Drosophila melanogaster: one gene and its partner. The gene in region 2 interacts genetically with the main gene of each other region. Each region holds a gene or a part of one and is shown on either strand. Other genes may lie near its edges.

Region 1 (3,754 bases), on a different chromosome or scaffold from region 2:
GTAATTTTGACTATTTATAAAAATTTCATTTCGAAGTGAAGCACAAATTTGGAAGGCTTAAAAAATCTTAAATAACGCCGCATTGTTTATATTGGGAACTAATAGCGGTTACTGACTGTTGAAATATAAGAAATTTAAGTAGTTGCTCATCGTTTTGAGTAGGTAACGAACAGAAATCTTTCAAATTGTTTGCGGCACACTTTCAGTACATGCAATTAGATCTTTTTTGTGTTAACTTTCCACAATTTTGATATTACTCGAACTTGGCGATAACGATCATTAGGGCTACGCCGGTTAGCAGCGCAAAGATTTCCTTCAGCGACTGTTTCAGTTTCGTAGACTCCTCAAGCAGCTCCGGCAGGACACTCACTGTTGCGATGTAAATAAAACCGCCGGCTGTGAAGGGCAAGACCCATGGGGCCGATCCGTCCCCGCCTCCAGCTCCCAGAAGAGCTAGCGCTGTGCCCGCCAAAGCTCCGAGCGCTGTGACGAGCTGCAGAAGCATTGCCTTTCGCCTGGAACAGCCAGACTTTATAAGAATGGCAAAGTCACCAATCTCATGGGGCACTTCGTGCAGCAGAATAGTGATAGTGGTCACAATGCCAATGCTGTTGCCCGCCAAATAGGAGGCGCCGATGGCCAGGCCATCGGTGAAGTTGTGAGCAAAGTCCGCCGCCAAATTCAAGTAGCCGGAAATCTCCACTTCGCCTTCTGGCTCCGCTTCTGGTTTCTTGGACTTGATCTTGGCTGGCTTTGCCGGTTTGTCTCCATCTCCGCTGTCTTCTTTGTCAGAGGACTTTTTCTTAGCAGGCACTGGTTTTGGCTTTGGTGCTCCATGGCTGTGGCCGTGTCCTCCATGACCGCCCTTTAGAATGCGTACCAGTTTCTCCACTGAAAGGAAGGCAATGATTCCTCCAAGGACCCACAGACCAATGCTCATATCGTGGCTGTGACCATGTTCATGCTCCTCGCCATCATGATGATGATGGTGATCATGGCCGTGATCGTGGCCGTGTTCTCCATGACTGTGTGGATGCGTGGCATGAGGAATCAAGTGCAGAAAGGCATCACCCAACAAACCGCCAGAAGCAAAGGCCAGAAGCACTTTGAGACGCGGCTTCATCGCCTCACTGTTGTCTAGGGGAATGATATACAGCAGCACGAAGGGAGCGGCACTGATAAGAAGAGTTGAGCCGATCGAGTGCAACCAAATGGTGCTCATATCTATAAGAAATTTGGGTCAACTCGGGCATTTTAAGAGTGGTAGTTCGTTGATTACCCAAATCCGGCTTTGCCTTGGTGTGCCTTTCATCGTGCCCGTGATGATGGTGTCCGTGGTCGTGGTCATGATCATGATCGTGCCCGTGATGATGGTGTCCATGATCATGCCCGTGGTCGTGGTCATGATCATGATCGTGCCCGTGGTGGTGGTGTCCATGATCGTGGTCATGATCATGATGATGATGGTGCTCCGCCCGTGGAGCCTTCTGCGGATCGAAGTTTTCGTTGGCTTCCCGCGAGTATTTGAAACTGGGATTGCCCTGGCCGGCGCACAACGCCGGGAGCGAGAAAAGCACTGCTCCCAGGATTACGACCAGTGCCAGCTTTTGGTACAACTGGAGCTTACTGCACTGGTAATCAGCCACTTGTTTGGCCATTTTGTCCTTTACTTTAGTTTCGCGTCGGACTGCGGCCAAAGTGTTGTGACGTGTTTGCTTTTTTTCTGGCTACGTTGTTATCGATTAGCGTGTAAATCTGGAGGTATCGATTGTTTCGCTCAAATAAAAAATAAACTTGTGTATATTTTCAATTATAAGTTGTACTTTGCCGCTTTTGCTTACATTAACTTTTAAACGGAGCTTAAGATCCGACAGCTTGCCAAGTCAATGCTTACAAAAATGCAAAACATTTAAAATTTATGCAGCGTACTGAAAGAAAATAACTTGTTCACACTTTGCCGTTACAACATTTCAGTTTTAAAATCTTTCTAAACTTATTATATATTCAATTTTAAACTAAACCTTTTAAATACCAATACAATTAAAAGTCACCCCAGCATATTCAGAAATAAAGTATCTTTATTTTCTGTAGGCTAACCACCGACATCGATTGAAATTCACTCAATTAAATAATTTTATATTTGTATATTTGCATTTAAATGACTATTAAATATTTGTATGCTTTAGTTAGTTTCCTATGTATTTATCGTTACCAGACATGGTTAAACGGGGCTAATAACTAGACACGAGAAGGTGCACATTAATTTGTTGCGTGTTGCGACGATGCCGATGATGAACCGATTAAAAAAGAACTCGTAAATTTCGTTTGTGATCAATAAATAATAATTTCGATTTGCACATGACACGGCAATGTGAGTGTGTGTTTGTTTTGTGTATGTATATATACAAGCCACTTTGGTTGCTGTTTGAATTGCTGCTGATCCTGCCGCCTTTGCTTTTCTTTCGTTTCCGTTACCGCCGTTCAGTACAGGTTGATCTTCTTGAGTATTGTCTTGCGACACATGTGGCATGTGCGGAGCGTTTCGGCACAATGGGAGCACGCGCCGTGCCCGCACAGGAAGGCCACATCCCTTTTTCGCTCCATGCAAATACCGCAGAAGTGCGACTCCTCAAACTCCAGCACTTTGTTCTCCAGATAGCGAAGTAGATCCCCGGACGGTAGGCGAGTGGGGTCACTAGGTGACGACGTGGACGTGGGCAGGGCCACCACTCGGCCGCTGACCGTCAATCGCCGCTCGATCGCCACGGCACAGCGGAGACACTTTTTCATTCGGATGCCGCACTCCTCGCAGGCGATCTGATGCTGACACGGCTCAAAGCGCACCATCGGCAGGATCTCATTGCACACAATGCACTCATGGGGACCGGGGACGATCACCGGACTGGTACTGGGTCCCGCCGCTCCGGCTTCCAACGCGGTACTGCTCGAGCTAGTGGTAACCGGAGGCTTGGGCGCCTTCTTGCGCGGTGCCACCTGTGGAGAGACGTTTTGCGGTGTTGCGTCGGAGTTCAGTTTCTTTACGCCCGGCGAGGCGGAGGGCGTGGATGGAGATGCTCCAACTCCAATGGCTGGGATATCGTTTGGCTTTGGCATTAGTTCAAATGTCTGGCGCTGCGGTGGTGGGGGTGCTGCAACGCTTCCAGGTCCGGCTCCATTGGATTCAGCTCCAGCAGACGCAGAGCTCTCCTCACCGTCGGCTGATCCTGCGGACACTTCCAAAGCTTGAAGATTCCTAGGCAGCGATTCAGCTTCGCCCTGCTGCCCAAAAATCAGTTGCCTGATGTGGCGGTCCGTTATCCACTCAAAAATGCTTGCATTGGCGTTGTTCAGCTCCACTCGGCAGCCGGCCCTCGAAAGATAGATCAATATACTGTACATCAAACGATCCTCAGGACGAATGCTCGAGTGTACTAGACTCAGGTAAAACTTGTGAATCTCAGGAGCCTCCTCTGGCTGAGGCTCCGCGGCCGACTGCAGATTGGACTTCTTAATGACGCACAAGTGCATCGCATTGTCGCCATCCTCATCCTTGGCATTCACGTCGCAGGAGAGGCGAACGAGTCGCTCGATTACCCCGGCATGGCCCTGGGAGACGGCCAGTAGGAACGGCGTCTGTTGGCGATTATTGCGTATATCTAACTCCGCTTGGCCCTCAGTGACCAGCGTTTCCACAACCTGGGCATGACCGTTAAGGGCTGCCAAATGAAGAGCCGCAAAGCCATCGTCTTTGCGC
Region 2 (3,754 bases):
GCTCGGCTTCTTGGGTTCTTTGAATTCGGGTTAAACACAATCCAACCCATTCTATTGCCGATGCCGAAGGCTATTCACTTTCGTTCAACGAATTTAGCTTTCAAATGGCCTGCTGCTGTTGCTGTTGATCTTAAATTTACATGCGATTTTATTTGACAAACCGTAGAACCTGATTTCTCGGGCAACCGGTTAGGTATGCTGGTGTAGCAACCATATAATTCGCAATTCTGTTTTGTTTCTCAAACGACTCACATTGATTACATGACAAGTTCAAAAGCGACTGCAAGTCGAAATGCACGCCAAACATGAGACCAAAAACTTTACTAGTCAAATCTCATATTTCATAGGATATTGAATGGATTTTGGATGCGTCCACTTGATTGGACAAGCCCGAAATTGCCTAATGGCTCCCTATGTTCATGTGCTTTATCTCTCGAGTGGTCAGGTAATTAGGCTAATGCACCATAGCGGACCGAGGAACCCCCGTAAATGGTGATTCACCGACATGAAACTAGTTCCCACTCGCTGGGAAAACCAGGATGAGCAACTTCGATCACTGACCCGGTGCTAATTGCTTGAAATGTGTGGTGTGCTTACCCTCGAGACTCTGGTCGTAGCCCTTGGTGAAGTACAGCATGGCCTTGGCTGCCCGCTCCGGCGTCTTGATCAGTCCCTGGCGATCGGGATTCTCGCCCAGGCCGCCCAAGAGTAGACGATACGAGCGTGCCATGTCCGGAAGGAGGGCCTCTCGCGTCGGCGGCTTGTGGTCCAGCTCCAGGTCGTGGTGGAACGTGCACTTCTCGTGGCCTGTAAATGGAAATACGGATGGAAACATGATGAGAATCGTTATCATGCGAGATAGGAAGGCATTGCCCCCCTTCGTTGGCTGTGTGTGGCTGTCTAAGTACTATTCCCCATTCCGAGGCGCATCTTCTGACCTCTGAACCGAAACACTAACCCACTGATAGGCGTACGGTTTATGCTCAAAAAGAGTTTGTCAAGCACTCCTCCTCCTCCTAGTTCATTGACTAACTAAATCGGTCGCAGCAAACATAGCTCTGGATCCCCTGACCTGGTCCTGGACCACTACCCACCACTACCTGGCGTTGTCGATGTACGCGGTGTCAGTGGTGTTTTCGGTTGTGTACCATCACTATCCGGACTGCTGCCGTTGGTCTTCAGGATGAGGCGGGGTCTCTGGTTGCCGGCCAACGGGACGAGAGCAGGAGCTGGCGCCACCTCCTCGACGGGTGTGCCCGCAATGGCAGTGGCCTCCTCCGCCTGGTTCTGCTGCCTGTCCGCCAGCGAGGAGGTGCCCGAGGTGCTACTTGTTGAGCAGACGCTGTTGTTGCGTCCGCGCGAAAGGATGTGGGCCTGCGGGAAGTTGGTGTCGTCGATGGCATCGTTCAGCTCGCTGGCACTCATCTCGGACAGTTGGCGGGTAAAGCTCATGGCGGTGCGGCTACTCAGGTTTGTTTGCCACTCGAATGGAACTCAATTTGACGGCTAGCACACAATCTTTTTTCCTCGATGATTTTCTCACTGCTATCTGTCTCTTTTTGCGCTGCTGTCTGCCGGACTTTGTCTTCGCGTGTTGGCGCTTCGGGTGGCTCTGCTCTTCTGGTGGCTGCTGTGGCCAGCGGTGGCAATAAGAACCTCTCGAGCGGAGCTTTGAGCGGCGGAAAGCTCCAATCAATAGCCAACAGACCATCCAACGGGCAAGCTCTGCTCCGAGTTTCGCTTGCCGGAGATTAAGTGAGCGGAACTAAACCGAGCTGAGCGCAGGCCCACGGTTTGGCATCCAGTGGCTGTAAAACCGCGCACGAACTTGTTGCTCGGCCAGGAGGCGATAGAACTACAGCACTAGCCACGAAAATAGTGCCATCAAATGTTAAAAACTAGCTTTGGGTGGTAGGTCAATTTACTTGTTAGGAAAGTAAAGCTACCTTATTGGGATAAGTGTAGCGTTTACCCTTAATATATATTATTAAATAGAGTGTACCAAGCTTTTGCCCTCAAACGTGCACTTTATCCTTGGCGCCAACTTAATCTCAACTATTGTTTGCATATCCTTGAAACCCACTCAACTTGGGGCCAGACGTCAAGTTGTAGTTCATTTAAACATTCCACTCGAAACGAGCTACTCCCCCAAATTCGAACCCCCTTCCAACCATCCGCCCCTCCATTCATCTTGGAGAACCAAAGTCATGGCGCACCGCCTCCAGCTCCGTAGCGATGACTTCGACGTTATCGGCGCCGTGCCCCGCAATCTGTCCGTGATCAAGAACTTCCTGAAGCGGGACTGTGCCATCAAGAAACTGATCGACATCGAGGAAGAGTTCCTGCAGGAATGCGTATTGCGCGGCCAGGATCCCATGAATCCGAAGGGTAAACGTGACAGTGACAGTGGGCCACATGGTAGTGGTTTGGGATCCAATGTGCCCGAACCCAAGCCGGATCCATGTGCTACCAAGACACCGGAGAACACATTGGCCTCCGACTACTGTGATCCCTGTCGCCGACTCAAGACCTCCGTGGTTCTCGAAGAGGTGAGTGATCTGTACATTCAATGTGCTTCAGTGATTTAGATGTTACTCCACTCATCTATCAGCTAACCAAGCCGGCCATCACAAATCCGGCTTTCAACAAATCCCTGCCGCCGTACTTCGATGAAGAGAGCGTGATGGGCAACTCGTTGCCCGTGAAGTTCCGTTTCCGGCGCAAGTTCAACAAGTGCGACCAGGAGAAGGCCGGCAACCTGATGTGCACCAACACGCCGAGCACCAATGTGGTCGTGTTGACCAACTGTTGCGACGTGATGGTCTGGCCCAGTCAACGGGTGGCCCAGATGAACCGGGTGCCGGTGACCATGCTGTCGGGCGAAGCCGATCTCACGGAGTACATGCTGGAGGAGGAGACCATTATGTGAGGGAATGGTTGGATGGGTGCAGCTTTTTGGCACATAACGCCGATCAATAAAGCATTAACCCCACTTAGAAGTGTCCTCATTTTGTGCGGGAAACCCTGCATCCCACATGTGGGGCTTCAATTGAAAGTAGCTAGTCTCTCCAGCTGGCCAAATTTGATTATTCTCTGCATATATTCGGAATCTTATTTGCATGCAAAGTATTCGTGGTTTATCGCGAGCACTTTTCTTGTTTATGGCATGGAGTTGAAGGTTATTCTTTATATATGTATATACATATATATGTCCTGAGAAATAGATTTTGGTGGGTTTGTAAAAAAGTACAAACCACAAGGAATGTAAAGCACATTAAAACCTTCCACCGCTGCTTAGGGTCGAATAAATCAGTTGGGAATAGCACAGGCTGGTTTAGTTTACATAAGTATAAGACAGCTGCAGATTATCGTTACAGATTATGTGACGTAGGTACAGTGATACCTCGCTAGTACTTATATATGTGCATGCAACCCTTAAAGAAGATGACTTGAGGGATGTCTGAATTGAAACCGCTTGTAAAGATGTAATGCAAATCGTTGAGCTCCAATGGGTTTCTTCCGGATTGGTCGACCCGTATGCTCATGCGGTGCAATTAAAGCATCATTAACATTTTCCACAGGGCAGGTGTTGTCTCCGGCTCTCTGGGCTGCACAATTAACCATTACGGCATTTGATCTGAATAAGGAATGCATTCCCCCCCATTCGTTGGTCTGTGGATCGGGATCGGGATCGGGGATTCCGTGCTGACAGGGTTGCCACCACGCCTTGGGAGAATTCGCTCGGAGAATTTTT

Evidence for each region. A genetic interaction does not mean that the proteins touch.
Region 1: of Pu (region 2) and Catsup, changing one suppresses a phenotype caused by changing the other (phenotypic suppression), as found in Drosophila melanogaster (one study listed by BioGRID).

What each region holds. Positions count from the first base shown.
Region 1 is NT_033779.5:19,039,850-19,043,603, reverse strand, and holds the start of Catsup (catecholamines up), read right to left. Parts: upstream 1,743-3,754; 5' UTR 1,659-1,742; coding exon 1,280-1,658; intron 1,225-1,279; coding exon 254-1,224; 3' UTR 1-253. Other genes in the region: mib2 (mind bomb 2), read right to left, coding at 2,482-3,754.
Region 2 is NT_033778.4:21,176,991-21,180,744, reverse strand, and holds the start of Pu (punch), read right to left. Parts: upstream 1,628-3,754; 5' UTR 1,453-1,627; coding exon 1,101-1,452; intron 808-1,100; coding exon 598-807; intron 1-597. Other genes in the region: CG4286 (uncharacterized protein), read left to right, coding at 2,208-2,549, 2,612-2,929. UniProt on the Drosophila melanogaster protein: Isoform B is required for eye pigment production, Isoform C may be required for normal embryonic development and segment pattern formation.